Linked DNA regions of Drosophila melanogaster. The protein of the gene in region 4 purifies or fractionates together with the protein of the main gene of each other region. This does not show direct contact. Each region holds a gene or a part of one and is shown on either strand. Other genes may lie near its edges.

Evidence for each region.
Region 1: the proteins of Cyt-c-p (region 4) and mAcon1 purify together in Drosophila melanogaster (affinity purification with mass spectrometry, with the first as the bait; one large-scale study listed by BioGRID). This does not show direct contact.
Region 2: the proteins of Cyt-c-p (region 4) and Mlc1 purify together in Drosophila melanogaster (affinity purification with mass spectrometry, with the first as the bait; one large-scale study listed by BioGRID). This does not show direct contact.
Region 3: the proteins of Cyt-c-p (region 4) and Mf purify together in Drosophila melanogaster (affinity purification with mass spectrometry, with the first as the bait; one large-scale study listed by BioGRID). This does not show direct contact.

What each region holds. Positions count from the first base shown.
Region 1 is NT_033779.5:21,166,632-21,173,720, forward strand, and holds mAcon1 (mitochondrial aconitase 1), read left to right. Parts: upstream 1-1,938; 5' UTR 1,939-2,140; coding exon 2,141-2,173; intron 2,174-3,559; coding exon 3,560-5,197; intron 5,198-5,263; coding exon 5,264-5,767; intron 5,768-5,828; coding exon 5,829-6,017; 3' UTR 6,018-6,553; downstream 6,554-7,089. Other genes in the region: CG43345 (uncharacterized protein), read right to left, coding at 48-317, 372-1,583; CG31627 (uncharacterized protein), read left to right, coding at 6,657-7,089.
Region 2 is NT_033777.3:27,656,552-27,661,749, forward strand, and holds Mlc1 (myosin alkali light chain 1), read right to left. Parts: upstream 3,627-5,198; 5' UTR 3,562-3,626; coding exon 3,559-3,561; intron 3,406-3,558; coding exon 3,378-3,405; intron 2,371-3,377; coding exon 2,065-2,370; intron 2,005-2,064; coding exon 1,918-2,004; intron 1,563-1,917; coding exon 1,519-1,562; 3' UTR 1,516-1,518; intron 1,405-1,515; coding exon of another isoform or gene 1,361-1,404; 3' UTR 527-1,360; downstream 1-526.
Region 3 is NT_033777.3:15,177,240-15,181,900, forward strand, and holds the start of Mf (myofilin), read right to left. Parts: upstream 3,032-4,661; 5' UTR 2,969-3,031; intron 2,112-2,968; exon of another isoform or gene 2,083-2,111; intron 1,942-2,082; 5' UTR 1,891-1,941; coding exon 1,800-1,890; intron 1,251-1,799; coding exon 1,041-1,250; coding exon of another isoform or gene 982-1,040; exon of another isoform or gene 1-981.
Region 4 is NT_033779.5:16,717,897-16,723,150, reverse strand, and holds Cyt-c-p (cytochrome c proximal), read right to left. Parts: upstream 3,220-5,254; 5' UTR 3,175-3,219; intron 1,143-3,174; 5' UTR 1,102-1,142; coding exon 775-1,101; 3' UTR 507-774; downstream 1-506. Other genes in the region: Cyt-c-d (cytochrome c distal), read right to left, coding at 3,699-4,016. UniProt on the Drosophila melanogaster protein: Electron carrier protein. The oxidized form of the cytochrome c heme group can accept an electron from the heme group of the cytochrome c1 subunit of cytochrome reductase.

The DNA.
Region 1 (7,089 bases), 4.4 Mb from region 4:
CAGCTGGTGGCGGTGTTGCAAAATGCCGGCAGGTTTAAAAGCGTAATTCAAATTCGTAAAATTGGTTTCAGTGGCAATGCATAGGGACTAAACCAGTCCCGCAGAAAAATTGCCATTAAATCTGTACGGAGACTATTATTGTTGTATTCCATGTCCTGGAGTACTAATCCAATGCCAGCTGAGTAAGTAAAATGCTCTCCCGAAAAACTGGAGGTGCCTATAAAGGCAACCCTATCGGTGACTAAGTACGAGTTGCAGTTAACTCTACCGCCGGAAATCCTCTCCAGTTCATTTGTGGTGGGTACAACAAAACGTCGCTGCAAGAGCAAAGAAATTGTTAATAAAATTGCCAATACTTATAAGCTCATTACCATTTGTATATCTACTCCTTCCGTAATTTTGTCGAGCGCTTGAAGGGACCTCAAGAAGTGATCCTCGCTGGGATCCGAATACTTCCACCATGAAATAAGCACCTTAATGGCCACACCGCGTTCCAAGGCAGCTCTACGCAGGGCATTGTCTATGACCGGCCAGTACTCCAATTTGTTACTCCGTCTTAGCCGAGGAGAGTACTCCATTAAGGAGAGGTATATAACGTCTGTGGCCTTGTCGATAGCCTCTAAAATGGCATCTAGCTCTCGGGTCCTTCCAGTAGCGATCAACTCTGGTGGTGATGTGGATAAATAAGCTCTCATTGTATGTTTTTTGTTGATGTTTAGCAAAAGCGGTCTTCTTTGATTGATGTGCGTGTGGTATATCCACGGCCAGCTCTTTGGCACTTCATTGCTGCCCAGGTACCAATACGCCTTGAAGATCTTTCCCAGATCTAGAGCAAGATGGGGACAATTTCTGGCCAGCACACCTAGTTCCTTGCGTTGCGTCAGTGATCGCCAGTCCATGCTAGCTGTGCCCAAGTAGAAGTGCTCCCCGTCCACTAACCACAGTTTTGAGTGCAGAAAATTAATGCCCACGACGTCGGCTGCTCCGTAGTTAGCCAAGATACGGGCATCAGCATGCCACAGGCTATCGTGGCTGCGATTAACCACAATCCGCACGCGCAGCTTGGGTCTGCCGGCATCTCCATTCGACAGTAGCTGCTGAAAGAGTTGATCTCCAGGCCCGGTGCTGCTATCGTTGACGTCCAAGCCGCGCAGTGTCCAGTGCGGAGAAACGATGTCCAACGATGCCTTGGCCCTGCCTAGTAGTAGCTGCCAGGCATCAAAGGTGCTACTCAGTTGGGGGTGGCTTTGCCATTGGCTGTAGTTCAACCCCAAGGGCAAGCTCTCCACCAGTTCGAGTTGACATGGTAACGGCTTTTCCACCGGAACGGGGCTGTTTCCGTTTTCATTTCGATGGTAGGTCTCCCAAGGCAACAGAAGCACAATCATCACCAGAACGAAGAGTATAAGCACTGGTATGATGTAGCCGTGCTTGCAGGAACAGATATTTCGCTCATCCTGGAGCCCTAGGCCGCAATTGGGACGCCGGCAACACGATGTGGTCAAAGGGGTTGGCTCTTCCGGTGCTCTGGGCACTGGCTGGTACTCTCCGGGTATCTCATGCACTACGCGACGCTCGGACATGGCAAGGGGATCAGGACTAATGCTGACTGGCCATTGTCAAACATTTTTCACAGCCGAGCCTATTTATTATTCGCGCAGTTGTGGGAAAGTATCACCCGCCCACGCAAACAAATGGGCAGTGTTGGACAGCACAGCGCGGTAGTCGTCTGCGCTGGCTGCTAAAAAAAAGCTAAAGGATAAATTAATCCAAGTCCCTGCTCAGAAAAATAAGTTGTCGTCAGTGCATTATTTCAGCATTTACTTCGATTTAAGTTTTAACGCCATAGAGTCCATTAATTCTCTTGAAGTTAATAAATGTTTATCGCTTTAATTCAAAACTGATAAACTTTCTATGGTCCTATTTATTTAACGACCCAATTTTGGCGGGAAACAAGCCGGCGGAACATTGCTGACGCGTATGCGTGACGCCAGCTAACACTGGTCGCCGTGGTAAAGAATTTAGTCTGTCTTAAAATCTTCCGGCTGAGAGGGCTGAAAATTTTGACGGCTTCGAAGCATTTGCTGCAATATCAATTTCGTCGGGTTTATTTCGAGTATCGCTTAATCAGGACGCGACCATGGCTGCGAGATTGATGAACGCCCAGGCACAGGTAGGTTCTAGAGCGGAGCCTGTGCCTCCAGTCGGCCAATATATAACCACGGCTATATATACGTTTACGTATAGAATCTGTGAATGGAACCCCGAAATTCCAAGCTGCGATAAAGACAACTGGACAGAGCACTGCGCGAAAGTTTACAAAAAATCATTGCCCATTTCTTACACACCCAGCAGGATGTGGGCAGCGAAAAATAGCAAATTTTTCGCACAGCGTTTTCTAACCTAAAATCATAAAATTCGAAGTGGTTAGGTAACCGAGTTCGCAGTGTTTGTGATTCTACAGGCCCTGCATCCCAAACATGTATACTGAATACGCAGCAGTGAACCATGCGAAATCGTTAGCTCTCAACAATTAACAGCGATTCGTGGGGGTTCGATGGTTGGCATAGTTGCATTTACATAATCGCCGGGGTCCAGTTATTTAACCAGGAGGCGAACACCCTCTAGAGCATATATCTTGTGGCGGAGGACCGTCTTATCTGTGACAGGTTTACTTACACTTTGATAATGCCAGCACTAAATATAGCTTAAAAAAGTTGCGCCGTTTAACTTGAGTATCACGCGCATTGGAGGAGTTTTGCCTTTCAAGTGGGGTTTTTCCACGTCAGCTTCGAGAAAGGTTTCACTGTACTCTGCCCATAAGTTAACGACCTATTTGACGTAATTGTCATTGCAATTGTTTCGATTTGCGTGTATGTACATACAGTCGTGTCGTCACGTGGTTCTTCTAATTGGAGTGTTCTGTAGAATATTGTAACAATTTGAAAGGCTTACAAACAAACTATATTTCCAGCTACTTTTTATTTTTTTATTCTGCAGTTCGAAGAACCTTAAAGCACTTTGGCTAGCACTTAAAATACTTTGATTGTTAAATGTAAACTTTCAATCATTTTACTAATCTCAAAAAAATATTTGGAAAAATTTCACTCTGAAGCGGTAAATGGATCAATGGATTATTTTTGGCTATTCAAAAATTTCAAGACGATTAAAATTTATTAGCTTTAGCAATATATTGATCTTAAAACAAGTGAAAGCGGTGATAATAATGTTTTACATTTGTTATATATGTATGCAAGATTAAATGTACAGTAAAGAAGAATTTTCACAGATATGGTCCCCACATGATTGTACTCTTGTCAGAATATCTTTGGGAATTATCATTTCCTGATAGAGGAATCAATTTAATTAAAGTGACGAGGACTCGTCCTCTTGACATGATAATCAAGTGTTTATTGGGCTACCAAGCGAATAAATAAAATCTCACAGTGTGCGAAGTGCAAATAAACTAGAGAATCACATTGTGTTAATTACTTGATCTTGATTGCTAAATGTACCACTTCACCATATTTAACAGTTCGACTTCTTATCTGCTTTCCAGGTGTGTCGACTGGGCAAGCATGTTGCGTCCGAAGCCACAGTGGTGCGTCAGTTCCACGCCTCCTGCTACACCGCCTCCAAAGTGGCTCTGTCCAAGTTCGACTCGGACGTCTACCTGCCGTACGAGAAGCTGAACAAGCGCCTGGAAGTGGTGCGCGGTCGCTTGAACCGCCCACTGACTCTCTCCGAGAAGGTGCTGTACTCGCATCTGGACGATCCCGCAAACCAGGACATCGTGCGCGGTACTTCGTACCTGCGTCTTCGCCCCGATCGTGTGGCTATGCAGGATGCCACTGCACAGATGGCTCTGCTTCAGTTTATCTCCTCCGGACTGAAAAAGGTGGCTGTGCCCTCCACTGTTCACTGTGATCATTTAATCGAGGCCCAGATTGGTGGACCCAAGGATTTAGCCCGTGCCAAGGACCTGAACAAGGAAGTGTACGATTTCTTGGCCAGCACCTGTGCAAAGTACGGATTGGGCTTCTGGAAGCCAGGCAGCGGAATCATCCATCAGATCATTCTGGAGAACTACGCTTTCCCCGGCCTGCTGATGATTGGTACTGACTCACACACCCCCAACGGTGGTGGCTTGGGTGGCCTGTGCATTGGCGTTGGTGGTGCTGATGCCGTCGATGTGATGGCCGACATCCCCTGGGAGCTGAAGTGCCCCAAGGTGATTGGTGTCAATTTGACTGGCAAGATCAGCGGCTGGACCTCGCCCAAGGATGTTATCCTGAAGGTTGCCGATATCCTGACCGTCAAGGGAGGCACCGGTGCCATCATTGAGTATCACGGCAAGGGTGTTGACTCTATCTCTTGTACAGGCATGGCCACCATCTGCAACATGGGTGCTGAGATCGGAGCTACCACCTCTCTGTTCCCCTTCAACCAGCGCATGGCTGATTACCTGAAATCGACAGGCCGTGCTGGCATTGCCTCCGAAGCCCAGAAGTACCAGGCCAAGATTCTGTCCGCTGACAAGAACTGCGAGTACGATGAGCTGATTGAAATCAACCTAGACACCCTGGAGCCCCATGTTAACGGACCATTCACTCCCGATTTGGGCCATCCCATCAGCAAGCTAGGCGAGAACTCGAAGAAGAACGGGTACCCTATGGACATCCGTGTAGGTCTTATTGGCTCTTGCACCAACTCTTCGTATGAGGACATGGGTCGCTGCGCCAGCATCGCCAAGGATGCCATGAGCCATGGCCTCAAGTCGAAGATTCCTTTCAATGTGACTCCCGGATCAGAGCAGATCCGTGCCACCATCGAGCGCGACGGCATCTCTGAGGTGTTCGACAAGTTCGGCGGTACCGTTCTGGCCAACGCTTGCGGTCCCTGCATTGGACAGTGGGATCGTAAGGACGTTAAGAAGGGCGACAAGAACACCATTGTCACCTCCTACAACCGAAACTTTACTGGCAGGAACGACGCTAACCCGGCCACCCATTGCTTTGTCACTAGTCCCGAGTTGGTCACCGCTCTGTCCATCGCCGGTCGTCTGGACTTCAACCCGCTGACCGACGAGCTTACTGGTGCTGATGGCAAGAAGTTCAAGCTCAAGGCTCCCTTCGGCGACGAGCTGCCCGCCAAGGGTTTCGATCCCGGCCAGGACACCTACACTGCTCCCCCACCCGTAAGTACATTTAAATTCCCAAACTGATTTATATTGTTCTTAAGAATCAATATGGAAATCCCACAGAGCGGCGAAAATGTCAAGGTGGCTGTCGACCCCAAGTCGACGCGTCTGCAGCTGCTGGAGCCTTTTGACAAGTGGAACGGCCAGGATCTGACCGATCTGACTGTGCTGATCAAGGTTAAGGGAAAGTGCACCACTGACCACATCTCCGCTGCCGGACCCTGGCTGAAGTACCGTGGCCATTTGGACAACATCTCCAACAACATGTTTATCGGAGCCACCAACTACGAAAACAACGAGATGAACAACATCAAGAACCAACGCAACGGTAGCTGGGGAGGAGTTCCCGACGTAGCCCGCGACTACAAGGCCAACGGCATCAAGTGGGTGGCCGTCGGCGATGAGAACTACGGCGAGGGTTCGTCCCGCGAGCATGCCGCTTTGGAGCCCCGTCACCTTGGTGGTCGTGCCATTATCGTCAAGTCCTTCGCCCGTATCCACGAGACCAACCTGAAGAAACAGGGTCTTCTGCCTCTCACCTTCGCCAATCCCGCTGATTACGATAAGGTTTGCGACTCTTAGCTTCTGTGACTAAGGTCATATTAACCATATCTTTGTACTTCAACAGATCCAGCCCACGAGCAAAATCTCCCTGCTCAACCTGAAATCCCTTGCGCCTGGAAAGCCCGTAGATGCCGAAATCAAGAATGGCGACAAGGTCGAGAGGATCAAGCTTAACCACACCCTGAACGACCTACAGATCGGCTGGTTCAAGGCCGGCAGCGCTCTCAACCGCATGAAGGAGCTGGCCCAGTAAATGGTCCTGGACCTACTTAAGACACCCAGTCAAGAAGCCTGATCCCAACCTTCTTCCTGTAGGTGAACACACTCAAATTCACAACGGAAGCAATCGAATTATGGTATTGTTATTCAATTCTTTTCAAATTGTTTATATTATATTTTGACTATATCGAGTGTGCAGCTTTAAAAGTGAATTATGTAGCCGAACGATAGCGAGAAATTGTAAGAGTTTTATATATATAATTATACACAATTTTATTTTTAATTCTGGCTATGCATGCGTTTCCTTCAATTTTTGTTCTTTTTGAATTTGTCCAAATGCTCTACAGATTGCCTCTACTATGAAACTGTTTTAAGTGCGAATAAAACTCAAGTAATATGTATTAAACCGATTCTTTCATTTAATAAACAACAGTTAAAACAAAAAAGCGGACAATAAGTGCCGTCAATTCATCCCGTGTCCTCTATATTTTCTTCATTATTAACATAATTTTATCAATTATAAGACGTAAGACACAACAATTTGCACAATAAAGCATAATATCAATAATAGAATCTACTGGGGCAGATTACTTAATTATTCACCCATAGCTTTTGGAAAATATGTCGAATTGTCAATCAAATATAAATTATTAGTAAATCCAATTCTAGGACTATGAAACGCAGAGCTCAAAGTAAAACTTCCGTTGCTTCCAGCACGGATTTCTTTTCACTCTCCGACAAGCCATCGTTGGGAAGAAGACGAGCCCTACTGGCTGCAAAACTTAAGCGTCAGGAACAGAGTACAACGTCCTTTGACTCCAGCACAGGCTCCTACACTTATACAGACGCCACTTCTTTGCGAAAGACCCCCATCACCTTCTCACCTAGCCCGGAGTTCATGAAGACCGCCAAGGCTAAATTAAAGTTAATCGCATTGTATGAAGATCACAAATGCTTGTGGAATCAGCGCAACAAAGATTTCTTCAATTTCGAGCTCAAAGACAGAATCTGGGATGCGATTGCCGATGAAATGAAAGCGGACTCGCCATCTGGGTTTTGGAAACATATGATTCACAAGCTTCGCTATAAAGTTGAGATGGAGCGCA
Region 2 (5,198 bases), on a different chromosome or scaffold from region 4:
TGTGTGTGTATCTTTGGGCTAGTCCTTTTCACTTGGAATAATATATTTTGGGTTCACTTTCGATTCGAGAAATGCTCGCGGAAATATATTTTGAAACGGCGTAAATGACAATATTTATATTTTGACTTGGCGCACTCACGCTCACTTACTTCACTGGCACTCTGCTAATTTATTTGGATTTTTGCTGGTGCAAATTTTTAAAAAAAGCGAGACAGCTCCCGCTCGGTCGGCTTGTCGGTTTGTTATCTCGATTTCAACTGATTCGTAGTCGTCGTATTTAACCGAAACTTTTCTGACACTTTTTTGATTCGACGTCGACGCAAAAGCTCAGCGGAATCTCAACCCCCAAGCTATTTTTGTGATTAGTTTATAATTGTTATTGTTGACTAGACGAGGAAGGTAGATACCAGGATGCGGGTATTTCCACCCCTTCTTACACTTACTATTTTAATATAATAAATAAATAATAATTACGAAAGTAGAGACAAAAACCATATTAACCAAGCTCTAAGCTTAACAAACATTTCGAAAGCTCTCTCTCGTTGAGAAAAAGCGAAAACGACATTTTAGTACACGGTATTTTAGTCTTTCGCCTGCTTCTCGTTGGTGGTTTGTGTCTCAGCTGAAGTATTGCAGTCTGCGGCGAAAATATCTAGATATTTCTTTGTGGATTCAGTATAAGATTTTTAAACTTTCTCTATTACTTTTAGTTTATTAAACAAGTCAGCCACATCTTGTATTAATATTGGCTGCCTATATAGCATAATCCCAAATTTTCCACCACCCTGATCTTCTTTTATATTGATTGTGCAACACCTCATCGGCCGCACAATTATTCTTAGTGTTTATTTAAATACATTTGACTTATTTCACTTTCACACATTCACTTGGTAAATTGAGAACGCAAAAAGGCCACAATTTACACATTTGGCGTTTTGCTAACTGCCCTTTTTGGACGCTTTCGGATGTTGAATTTGCCTAAACATTATATTATTTGCTATTTGGTTTATTCACGTCTCATATAAAATAATCATTAACTATTGCTTTGCTTTTGGCTGAACCAACAAAATAATTCATAACAAAATAATGTGCACAAAACTTTGAATATTTTTCAGTTTTTTTGTTTTCGTTATTTTATAATTTAAATTTTTTTATTTTTTAAAAAATAATATTATCTTGAAGTTCAATTTTGCAGTTGTAGTAGCAGAAGTAATTTTTAATTAAAATAATATACGAGAGAGATAGAGAGAGTTAGCGATGAATATAACATCTATGGAGAATGGTTGTCGCTAAAAGTTTGTTGGTGTTGTTGTTGTTGTTGTTGTTGTTTGTTGGTTGTTGTTGAAGCTGTTGTTTTCAACTATTTTAGCTGATCTGGTCTGTCACACATTCTGGCGAGGAATGCTGTGGAGTAGACGAAGAAAAGGGCCATATTAGCAAGGTATTCCCCAAATTTGTTGGACAAGTAGACATCCAGAGATCGGCGAAGTGGCCATGGGCTCCATCCCTACTTACTGTTTAGTCGAAGACGACAGGATCGCTCATCAGGCGCTGGACGAACTCTGTTTTCATTCAATTTCAAGTGGATCGGCGACAAACGGCGGGTAAACAAGACGCAATCACCGTGCAGAGACCATACGTTTGACATTCGGGAGTTGGTCGGTTTTTTTTTTTTTTTGCGAGTGTAGTGTTGGAGGAATGGACACGCAAACATGGATACACGCATACACATATTTTTAGGTTTGTTGGTGTTTTTCAGGTCGAGTTGGTGGTACAAAGTGCACAGTGCAGAATGGTGGGGATTTTTTTGGTTTGTGCGCAGACAAAGAGTGACATGTGGAATAGACAAACGGCGTTTACAAATCGTATATGCACAAAAAACATTAGATGAGTATCGTCCATTGAACGAATACTTACGAGAGTAGGGGATAAATCCTTCATCATCCTCGGGATCCATGCAGTCAGCGAACAGGGTCTCCACCTGCTCGTCATCCAAGCTCTCACCTGTAATGCACACAATGATTTAGAGGGATATCCCAGGATATATGCATGTTGATTACTCACCAAGCGCCAGCAGGGCGTGCTGCAGCTCAGCCAGCAGCATGGTGCCGTTCTCCTCCTTGTCGTAGAGCTTCAAGCACTCAATGAAGTCCTCGTAGCAGCCCTGCTCCTTCTCCTTCTTGACCTGTGAGTAGATGGGCAGGAACTCATCCAGCTTGATCTTCTTCTCGTTGCGCTTCTTGGTGCCGCCCAATTTCTCGATCAGCGCCAAGGTGGGGTTCAAGTTCAGAGCGCGGAGGGCATCACCTAGGTCGACGGCATCAATGCCCTCACCGGGGGAGCCCATGACTTCGAAAACGAATTCGACATCTGCGCAAAAGGAACTCGATTAGCATTTACATCTTCATGTTCATGTTAGTCGATCAAACGTAAATCCCATCAAATTTTTGTTTTTATTCGTTTCATTTTATTATGCTGCCTCATTAATTGTTTTTAAAAATACTTTAGCAGAGGTGGGTGTTGACCACCCTTTTTATTTTCGAAAACGGGGTCGATGTGGTAACCCTGAAATTTCTGGTACGCACATTTTTGGTCATCATGAAAATCTTGACATGGCTGCTGGGCATTGCCTACTTAGTGTGTGAGTGTATGCGTGAGTGCGGATCTGGGAGAGTTGCCAGCCCCGAGAACACACTACGTATACGTAATCCGACACCCGAACCGAACGCCTTCGCCCTCGTCTGCGCTATATACACAGTATATAGGCGTATATACACACACAAAGTCGCATAGTTTGCTCATCTCTTTCGCTGTGCGTTTGATCGAAAATAAATCTAAAGAAATAACTTGGCCAAAATTAGATCTCTAAACGAGAAGCATTTCGGCTCGAAGACGAGGATCGCGCGTTCGGGTTCGCGACATATACACACACGATTTTCATTGTTTTCCGCGGCTTTTCTATAACGCAAATCAAACTTAACTTTGCACTAGATTTTCTCTACCGGAATTGTGTTGGCAACCTTTATCCGTTCTGGTTTTGGATGGTCGATCGATGAAAATAGCTCAGGCGATGCATATAGACGACAGCATTCCTTAATGAAAATTTTCCGCATAGTGTTATATATATAGGCATGCGTATATGTATGCGATATATTCCAAGTGATTACGAAATATGTTCACCGACTTTTGTGTACTTTTTGTTGTGTATCTCACACGCGCACATTATGTAATCTGTATTTTTATGGATATTATAATACTTGTTTTTAGTCCTTTCTGCTGGGTTTTCCGTTACCTCGTTCATTTAATATGTTGGTTTAACTTTGATGGATTTCGTTTGAGGTTAAAGATAATCCTTTTCGTGCGGGGTTTTAACTTACTTTCAACTTCACGCTTTGGAACATCAGCCTGTCAACGGAATCGAAAAAGATTTGAGAGTTTGGCATTAGTTCGAGTGTGGAAAATCTTCAGTTTTCAGCTGCTGCATATATTTATGTACATCTATATCACTGGATATTGGTGGAAGATGTGTGAAGACTCCTTGGCCGACTGGGCACTCACCATTTTGTCTGTTTGATGCGAAAATCAACTGTATCGCGGATGAGCTCGGTCTCGACTGAACGTTATTCGTCAGTGGCAGTACGGCAAGGTAATTCTGAGGTGAAAGCCAACCAGCCGATCGCCGAGCACTCAGACACAGATACAGATACATTTACAGCTATAGCTTCGAAAACGAATTCAAAAACGAATACGAATACGAATGGATGACGAAACGCTCGCTCTTTTCCTGCGCAAGGCTATACACACACCAAAATATATGCTGTAGTATGTGCGATGGCAAGAATTTACTTTCATCTTGGGGGAACTTTTTCGAATGCCACTCTCTTTTGGGATCCCATGGATCCCAACGACCACCAGATATTGGGAGGCTCTCCTATGGAGCCAGAGCCATTTGTTGTCCGCTCTCTAGCCGGGCTATTTTTAAGCATTTTGTTTTTTTTCGGCTATTCTGTGAATATTTCTTTTTATTTCGTTCGTGAAGGCAAAATAATAATCGCTTGTGGCATTCCCAGCCGGATAGTGTTGAATATCATTCGATGTTACAGATGATTTTGCAGATAATATAATATTTTCTCATTCAGGCGGGAGGAGAATGGGTTTGAGAATTGATTGTTTAGCGCTGCGCAATAGATTGAGCTTCCATGCTGGGGTTTTACGGGGTATGTTTAGATGTTTAGATGGGGCTATGGGGCTATGTACTATAAATGTGGCCTATACATGTATATATTTATACACTCATCGACCCTGATCGTCTTTTTGGCAAACGTACGTATTTCTCAGGTCTTGCCTGTTATCATTCGAAATGTTTTGTCAGCCGGTCGTATGTGGGGGTGTTAAATGGCCGATTTCTTGTTTGTCCGCTGCCAGAACACCTGAACACCAGCCTTTTTCAATATTTATACACTATACATGCTCCAAAAGCATACTATTCCTCGTTGGCATCTCATCTACATAGAAGGCGCATTACTGGCCCCTCAGGCGCCTTCTTGTGCCTTGTGTGTGCCGCCTGTACAACATTTTAATGCGTGCTATTTATAAAAACTATGACACAGATACATGAAGCGTATTCAGAGCAAAAATGTACAGCAACAACTAAATGCTCGAATTGTTTGCATAGGCAAATGGTGGGTGGTAGGTATATAATGACCGATCAAGCCTGAAGGGTAAGCGAGGTGCTTAAAAGGCGGCAAATCTGGCAAGGAAGTGGCAATTAAGCCAAGCAGGCCATTGGCTTTGCCGGCACATCCATTTCCATGCACCCATGTCCTTGACTTTCTATGTAAATGTAGATGTACACACGTCCATGTTCGTGCCATCGGACAGGTCCTTCTTTGACCCAGTTTTGAGCCCAGCTGTGTGCCCAACTTCCGGCTGATGCTCATCAGACCCACTCTCTGGGCTGTCCTGTCTCGTCCTATCTCTCAATCCATTGAGTCCTCGGCTCGGCTTTTGGCCGCGCAGCCTCCCTGGCCTTGTTATTGTTTACTCCTTGGGGCACCACCTGTTGTCAAGCGGGTAACTGGTGCATGAGTATTTAGGCCGATTTGGTCCTTGATTGAACATCTGCTATCAGCAGCCGATTGTTGCCACGAATCTGCGCAGATTAATGTGCGCAAGTCATTGATAAATAGCCCCTTGAG
Region 3 (4,661 bases), on a different chromosome or scaffold from region 4:
AAGGTGAAATGGGCGGACTTCAGGGGGCTGGGTGTTCGGATTTGGGTGCTTGGGGCTTTTGCCAGTGTGTGAGTGTGTGGAAATTCGGAAAATCGGAAAAGAGAACTTCGGTTTCCGCGCACCGAGGGCCGCCACAGTCATTTGATCCCAGAGCACGCACCGAAAAAAAAAATTGAGTCAAAAATTCCGCTTATATACCTGACTTGATATATAGCGCCTGTGTGTGTTGCCTATATTATTGTCTTCATTTTTTTTATTTTTTTTGTTCATTTTTGAGGCCTTTTGCCAAAATCAACACGACCGAGGCGAAACGAAACGATACGAAACGAAAATTTTCATTGACGTAATTGTATTTGGCCGTTTGGCGCTGTCCATTTTTATTTTTAAATTTATGAAATCATAGCGCTCGCACCAGTTTTCATCTCAAATGAAACGCATAAAAATATGGCGGTTTTGAGATATTCAAGGTGTTGTCAAAAGCTTCAATAGCAGGCAGTGGCGAGATTGCAGTTGTAAGATGATTGTAATGACTCGACTGATTGACTGACTGATTGACTGACTGACTGACTGATTGATGGATGGCGCATCGAAGCGAAGCAGAAAGGCTGAAAGAACTTGTGGCGTTCGGATGGACCGAAGCTTATGTAACCTTGCAAATAACAATCAGGTGATTGCCTTTTTTAATTTTAAATTTTAATTAAAATTTTAAACGTTTTTTTCTAAAAAACTAGATTGAAAGCATTGACATAAACTTTTGAACCTGAATTTCATCTATGTTACTATTCCAGTTTCAAGAATGTTAAAAATATCTTTTAGTTTCATGGCGGATAATTTGTTATGTAAACAATCATAATCATTTATCTATATTATTTGAAATATACTTTAAATGGTAATAACAGGATATCTTAGTTCAATATCCACATTTGCAAGGCCACCGATTTCGGAAGCATTAAGATACAGATACTCGGCTGTGTGAAGCAGTTAGGCGGGAATCGGCTGTAGATAGTACAGTATGTGGTCCGTATATGGTACCAACTTACTTGTTCGGCTGTAGTGATGATCGTAGATGGCACGGGGCGAGTAGCCGTAGGTGTCGCGGCTCACTGGCAGATATCTGTAGCCAGAGGACTGGACGCGCTCATTGGCGGTGGCGGGCTCGTCATAGATGCTCCTGTAGGAGGGCGAGTCCAGGTAGGAGCTGTAGGGACGAGAGGCACGGGGCGCCTCGTGGGCACGGATATCCTCGGAGCCTATAAATAGTTGTTTGGATAACGACGCGTTAGTTCATTGCTTTTCAAATATTTCGGCTATTCTATTCTCACTATTTGGCTCAATGCCAGCGCTGCAGAAATGTATGATTTCTATTCGGTTTCTATCATAGATGCGCCCCCTGTATGTGTATCCTATATTTTAGCCTATTCTTTGTTTAAGGCCTGAGCATATATATTTTACAAATTTCTCTCTATATATTCGAATATACTATGGCGAAAAGCTTTCCCAGCAGAGCGTGTCTAAGTATATAGCTTGGCTGATATGACACCTGCCAAAATAAATAGACTATACACATATAGGCTAAGCTATTTGTGTTGCTCACTGGCGACCAGAGTTTAATAATATCACTTTTGAGTGTCCCTTAATCATATCGAAATGGGAACACTTCGAGTTAATCTTCAATTGTTTTTTGAATTATTTTGGAACTATGCAAACTCCCTACTATTGTGACTAAGCAATCAATAGTAGTTTTGAATAACTATCCTATCTTTTAATGTAATTTTTGAGCTTATTTAGTGAATGCTTACCCTTCAGGGACCTGATGTAGGACTGCCAGAATTTCGCCTTCTTGCTGGGGCTCTCATTGCGCCCAATCATTTCCAAGTGGTTTTTGAACATTTTGATCGATTTGTTTTGTTCTGTTCACGAAAAAATCGTTGAACTCGTTCGCTGTAATAAAGTTGGGAAGAGAGATGGCTTAGCAATTTTCCAATGTGTTTCAAATTTCCTTTCCGCCTATTTTATTTTATTTTTTTTTTTTGTCCGTTTTCAATTTAATCTATTTCCCGGGAAATGCCAGGCAGCACGCACGAATTCGAATCGCTTGTCTCTCGATTGATGGGATGTTTTCTCAGTTGAATTTTTTGCTTTCGCGTTGAAAGTCTCTCGGTTCGAAAATAAACAGACTGTGTGCCACTTTAGAGCAGTGCAAAGTTTATAAAACATATACATAAAATCTAATATAATACCGCGATCGGGCAACAGCAGCTAACGCAAGATCAATCTCACTAAAAATAAATATATTTCGGTTCGGTTTTTGTGATTTTTCATGTATCGTGGTATTCTCCTGGTTGCTCGAATATAAAAATATTTTTTTGTTGCATAGCAAATTTCACACTTCTGAGTATGAGAACAAATATTCTAGGTGTCGTCAGTGTGTGCGTGTAAATGGGTGAGTGGATGTAAGTGTATCTGTGTGTAAGCTGCAGCTAAATTGGGTTTTATTTTTAAATGTCCTTGAGTTGAAATCGTTCTGTTATTCTGGCTTTTAGCGGAATTTACTTAAGTATCGAAGAAGTGTGCAAAGTCTAAGAACAATTTAGTTGAAGTATGTTTAAAATAGGCCTTTATTATCCATTAAACTAAATTAATTTTGAATTTAATTCAATGTGGGATTTTTGTTTTTTATATTTCACTGCACAAACTCTTGATGAGCTCCAACACTTCGGTATCAAATGTCATTGAGTACGATCTCTCTTATATAATTATAGTCAATGTCTTTTCGCTATGGAACATATCGGATCATTCATAATGCGATCATAATTCCATAATTATTTCACCAGTTAATTGTTCGTCTCCACATTCAGATGTGATGGTGCACTTTATTTAATTTGATTTTATTGTTTTTCATTTCGTTTATAATTATTTAATTTACTATTCAGTTGTATGTTGTTTAATATGTTTCGGGTTCGCTTACAATTTAAATTTACTCCTAAAAAATAGCGATCTATCCTCAACGAAGAATTTTTTCAAACTGCAAACCCCAAGAAAATTCGCCTCACCAATTTTCCTCGTTTCAGAATTTTGCCATTCCGTTTCGGCACCAAAAGCACGGCGCATTCCTTTACGGCGTAGGTTGCTCTATCCGTGAGCGATTTTCATCGCATCTGTGTGGCAAAGCTCCGGAGATTGGTTATGGGAAAGCTTTCCCACCACATTCTGATAGATCGTGTGGTGGCACCCACTCATTGTTTGCAACGATTCAATACCGAAATCGCGATGACGCTGGCGATGATCATAAAAAGAAAGCCAGCCAAGTCATACCACACATACACAATACATATGAGCCCATATTTCTTTCAGAAAATCCCACACCCTATTTTCTGTTTTTGTTTTTCCTATGGTTTTTCATAATTTTAACATATTCTTTGAATGTTTCAAGGGAAAGGCGTCACTTGTGGTATTGAATTGATCAGTGAACTATAAGCTCTAACTAATACATTACAATATTTGGTTTTTTGTAACTAACTAATTCAAAATGTGGTTAGAGGCCGATGGAATTTTTGCCATAAAAGCATTTAAATTCCGTTTATTTGTTTATGTTTTCTTTTGGCTTTGGCATTAGCTATAATTTAGTTTCCTGATAATGGAAAAATCATTTCCAGCAACATGCCCACACAGGTAAATAAACAAAACTGGTCCAGATACATTTAACCAAATAATAGATACTTTAAGCACACAATATATTATTTATAATGAAATCTGTATGAATAGTTTGATATTTTCTAGCTTGTTATGTAAAATTTGCCGTTAATTGATTATTTAAAACATTAGTAACTCATTTTTTTCGATTATACCCTCCTGTAGGGTATATCTTTTTTGCTCACGTGCGACCCAATGATTGATAATCTAAACACAAATTTTCCAGGGAAATTCCTACGAAAACGAATAAACAAAGATGGGTAAAGCTTCCCCCATCATATACAATTACATCGAAACGAGTTGAAGGGCAGATCTGGGAGTACATATGTTTCTAATAATAGTAAATACATTCATGGAGATCATGTTGACCTTTTCAATCGTGCAGATCGCTTACAGAATTTCCTGCATGTGTTTTCTTTTTCCGCCGATAAACTCAAGGCCAAATGCACTTGCATCCAAATGTTCTTTTGACTTTGTTTGTTTAGCTTATATAAATCTTGTTTGTGAATTTTACCCTTAAACAGGCGGGCGGCGTCATTTAAACTTGAACTTGACTTTGAATGAACCGAATGCGGTTTGATGAACCAAATCGAAAATCAAATGAAAATGCACAAAAACTCACGGGAAATTGGGAAATACCTGGCAAAGGTTTTTCTTTCGGCCAATCAGTGATTTCGGTGATGTGATTCAACTTTTACTTTCTGGCACACTTTTTTGGCTTCACAGAACAATGAATTGAGCAACTTTTTATTTTACTTTCGTTTTTTTTTCAGGTTTTTCATTTTAATTTATTTTAGTTTATTGGCGCTTGATTGTGTTTGTTCCAACATCTTTGATGTTTTGCTCAAGGAGACACAAAAATTGGCTAGGAATTGCATACCCTTAAAAGGAATCTCAAATAAAATTTAGTTATTTTAAAAATATTTTAATTGGCCTAGCGGCTTACAAAATAATTATCTTAGAGAAAT
Region 4 (5,254 bases):
AGCCAAAAAATATAAAAATACCAGTGTATTCTTGTTTAACGATTGGCCAAATAGAATGTGCATTAAGAGAGCATTTCGACCCTAATAGTTTTCTACTTTCTCTCTCAGTAATACAATCTTATTGTGATGTTTCTGCGTAACGTATCGACTCTTTCTTTGTTGGATGTTTTTAGTGATGTCTACCTCCACGCAATGAACTAAGGAATTTGCAGCAACCCAGGATGATTTGTGGTCATCTTTGTGCGACTCAGATGAGTAAGGCCTATATAGATCAGCCAACAACATTTTTGACAGACGCAAAGAGTATGCTGCAGTCGAGTTTGACGACTAACAGATACCTATTGATAGAAATTGCCAGGACAATTGTTTTATAAATATGATTGGTATCTCTTATTTTTAATTTGAGTTGCCCGAGTCAAAAATCTGAAGAAGCTTTTTTTATTCTTTTTGACCTGCGAGCTACAAAAACCAGGTCCTCGCATAAAACAGATTTTATATCATTTTTTAGTTCTTTTTTTATTATTTAACTTTTTTGTGGATGTCACAATTCTCATCGGGTTTGAATTAAATATTCCACTTTTTATTTAAATTAAATAATAAATTGTCCTATTTAAACTTTATAATTAACATAATTGTAGTTCTTTAGGTCTGTACTATGTTGATTTGTAGTTGTAGTTGTTGCTGCTGCTGCATTTGCGTGCCGGACTGTGACTGAACACAATAATACAGTTTGACATCCTGCAGTGGTTGTGGGTAAGTTGATGGACAGCACCATTACTTGGTCGCCGACTTCAGGTAGGCGATCAGATCGCCGCGCTCGTTGGGCTTCTTCAGACCGGCGAAGATCATCTTGGTGCCGGGGATGTACTTCTTGGGGTTCTCCAGGTACTCGAACAGGGTGTCCTCGTTCCAGGTGATGCCCTTGGCCTTGTTGGCGTCCGTGTACGCGAATCCGGCCGCCTGTCCGGTCTTGCGACCGATCAGACCATGCAGATTGGGTCCAACCTTGTGCTTGCCACCAGCCTCAACGGTGTGGCACTGGGCGCAGCGCTGCACGAACAGCTTCTTTCCCTTCTCAACATCACCAGCAGGAACGCCCATTATGGATTATGTGGTTAATTAATGTGTTAACACGGACTCGACTGTAAAAAGAAATGTTTGTTATTAATGAGTGGTTCATAAAACAAGGGTAACCAATATATCTGTTATCTTACATCTTAGGTTTGAAAAACTTAAAAAACTGGCTACTAAATGGTTCAAAGTTCATAACTGCTACCAATTAATTTGTTCTATTCTGATAAATTGATTACAATATATATTTTATATCATTTGCTTATGTACTTAGTCCGAAATTCTGGTTTCACTGCAAAAAATAGTTATACGATATTTGATACCATTTATTATTAGCCCCAATGAACCATTGTGTAGATACTGATAAAAGCTTCACTTTCAGCCATACATTATCAAAAGATTATTGAATAAATAAACCCGAAATTTAAAATTTATTAACCAGTTGATTTCCCAACGTTACTTATATAATATTATATATTTTTAAGGTATTAAAATAATAACGTCTTTATATCATCAAAAATTTCCATGCTTGGGAAATAATGGGTTAATGTAGGTAGTTATGGACCGTGAATTAATATTTGTCCCCTTGCCCCGTTATGTAAACAATTGATAAGCTCCCTGCGGAAACGGAATTATTAAAATTGCTCATGCTAAGTGCATTAGTCGGCTGTTGTTTCTGATAAGGCCCGAAATTATTATCTAACGTAGTCTGCATTTCCATTTGCGGCCACCCCCTTTTTAACCCACATACTTTGCTCTCACTAATACGCGCGTGGAGGGCGTCGCAACGTCATCAGAAACACACTTTGAAAAAGCTTCAGACGCTGGTCACATGTTGCCCCCACACTCTTTCTCTCCTTCTCACACTCTCTTTGTGTCTCACTCGCTTATATTTGCCAGTCGCCGATTAATTGCGTCAGAACTGCTCAGCAACAGGCGGAAAACTTCCAGGAAGCATCATAATACGAAAAACGTTAGTTGTTTACATAACTATTCTATTATTCCAGGGTCTGTGTTACGGTCATCCTGCTAATTGCCGGATTATAAATTGCATGCAGCAATTTGAACTTGAGAGTGCAAAGTACCGTTGCGGTGAGTAATTCACCTACACATCACGCACATAGACTGAGAGAAATTCGATTAGCTGAAGCTCTTTCAATTCTAGAAAACTAATTTTATTTTATATGCATTTGTCTATAAAAACAAACCTAATATATATAGACTATTGATTTTGTGCGCTTTTACACATAATTTGCATTTAATATCAACCTTTTTTTCACTTCTTTCTGTGTAGAGTATCATGCACTTTGGCAGTGAGAGGTGGCAAAGCAACAACAATGTCAACATCCGATTTGGCCTTGTTGAGTATTTTTCAGTTAATTGCCGTGCGTGAGTGTGCGTGAGATGAAGGGAAAGTGCAATTGGAAAATTGGAAGCAGGCCAAAGGCAGCTGTGTTTTTCCTTGTGTGGGTGAGCAAGGTGGTGAGAACAAAGAGATGAGTGAAAATTGGGCCAACATCCAAGTTTCCTGAGAGCAGCGAATGTTACATAAGCCGCCTTTTCGCAGAGGTGAATTCTCTTTTATTTATATTATAGAAAACTGCACATCGCAGAAAGCAAAACCTGCTTAGCAACCACGTGGCGCGCTTAAAGACTCCAAAGCTGAAGCATTGACAAAAAATCCAAGAATTAATTTTTGCCACTGAGCGAGCGAGACAGCTGATGATCGGGTACGCCACTCTCTTTGCTCATGTAATCGACTCTCTCCGGGGCTTTTTTCAATGGCAATGTGACTTTGGGATGCTATTTTTACTATTAATACACCACTGCTAATATTTGCTAAATAAACTATTAAATATCTAATAAAAAATCACACTTATACACACACACACAAGGACACGTTTATGTAACCTGAATCATCCCCCAAAGAATACGTTAAATTTGCATGCGAATCATTTTCAGAACAAAACACAGCTGCTGGATGTTACGTAAATGACACGGAAGTGTTTCTAATCTTTATCTGACTTGGGGCTTGATAATCAATAACTATTCAAGGTAATATTTACGTCACTTGAAAATACAAAAATTCCACCCACTACTTACATTGAACACAAACGTCGAGCGTCGCCGATTTTTCACGAATGACGAGCGCGCGTTATGTCGATAGGTAATTAGTGTGACCAGAGTGACCGGGGGCCACGCATTAAAAAATGTCGCAAGCTTTTGTACCCGTATTTATCCACCACACGGCGTATAAGTAATTTTTTCCCCTATTAACGGGACTATATTGGAAAGCCTCTGGAAAATTTGCATTATTTAACAAGCTTCTCCAATTTATTACATTTTGCTAGTAGGACCATAAAACCAACTGTGACCAAAGCTGATTGGTACAACACTTTCCTCCACCCGCGTCGCACACAACTTGAATTAAGAAGAGGGTTTTTGGTTTATCAACTTTAATTGGCTAAAGTGAAAGTAAACCTTTTTGAAATGTATTTGAGCTCGACCATTCCCAATCAAAGTTTCGAAATCCAAGTGAAATACGTCATCTTTTGAATATGTTTGTAGTCTTTAAGCGCAGTTTTCTGGATAGCATGGTGGCCGATCTTGTTGTTTCGCAGGCGATTCTACTTGTTTGACTTGAGGAAGGCAATCAAATCGGCCCGCTCCTCAGCCTTTTTAAGACCTGCGAACACCATCTTTGTTCCGGGAATGTATTTCTTCGGGTCCTTGAGGTACTCGTCCAAATTCCCCTCTGTCCAGGTAACGCCCTTCTTTATATTGGCATCGGTATACTTGTATCCCGCTGCTGTGCCACACTTGCGACCCACGACCCCGCCAAGATTTGGGCCCACCTTGTGTTTGCCGCCCACTTCGTAGGTGTGGCACTGGGCGCACTTCTGCACAAATATCTTCTTGCCGTTCTCTGCATCACCAGAACCCATCTTGGAAGCCTGAAAGACAAATAGGGAAAAATGATATTTATGATTTAGAATTCAACTTTTTATGCAGCTTTTATTTCTATATTTTTTAATTTTTTGTTATTTGTTTTTTGTTAATTTGGATCAAATAGAAATTGGTTGATTCCGAAACTATCATGAAAAAGAAAAGTGTAGAACTAAAAATTTGATAGAAAAGAAAAACAGATTCAATTTGTTTCAGTGTCCTAAAAAACCGTTTGAAAAGTGCAAGTCCTGGACAACTGAGAGAGAGAGAGAGAGCGTTTCTCTTGGTCACTCTCTTGGCTGCACAGCGATAGACAGAGACAGCTGCTAATGCACGAAAGCAAAACAAAATTGGGTCAGAAAAATAGGAAAAACGAAAATTAAATCAAAATGGGTATTAAATGAAAAGCAAACAAGCAGCTCGAGAACTTGTCGGCACTTCTAATGGGAAAAGCAACCGAAAGGTAATTCAATTAGCAGACACATTCGGCTTGCCACCCCCTTTCCCAACCAATTCGTTGACTAGCAGATGCACATGTGCTTTGAACATTTCCTTTCAATTAAAACGCATTTTACGCACTCTCCGCTTTCGCCCCCTGCCTTCCCCTCTCTCAACCATTTTCCTGTGGCAAAAACAGATGCCACCGCATAACAAAACCAAAAAAAAAAAAAACAAAGCAGAGGGAAATGAATAACGGGAAAGAGACATGGAACCATGCCGCATACAACGGTCACACAGGGATGATATTCACCTGCAATTTAAAATTTAAAGGATCAATTGAAAATATTAACTATGTTTATCTCAACCAATTATCTTAAAATTAAATTTGTTTTAAATTTACAAGAGTGCATTATGATATTTTTCAGAGAATGATATTATTTATATATTTATATTACGTACGTATGTAAATGTCACATTCTAAATCCAAACAATGACATTTTCCTGGCAGCCCTGCACTGGTATTAGGTGTACTCCCTGTGCATCCATCTACATACATACATACATATATCCCCAATGGGACATCCTGGTTGTGACCTAACCTAATTGGCAATGGAACCATAATTTACCCGCAGGCTAAACTATCCTGCCTGTTGGCCCGAGTTCTTTTGCCGGACCACTATAAATAAATGGTGCAAGAAATTAAATTACGCTTGAACGGGCTCGGCCGAACATGGGGTAGTAGTAGGAAAGAGATAGCCTGCGGAAAGGTTGTGGGGAGGCTATATTGTTTACTAGA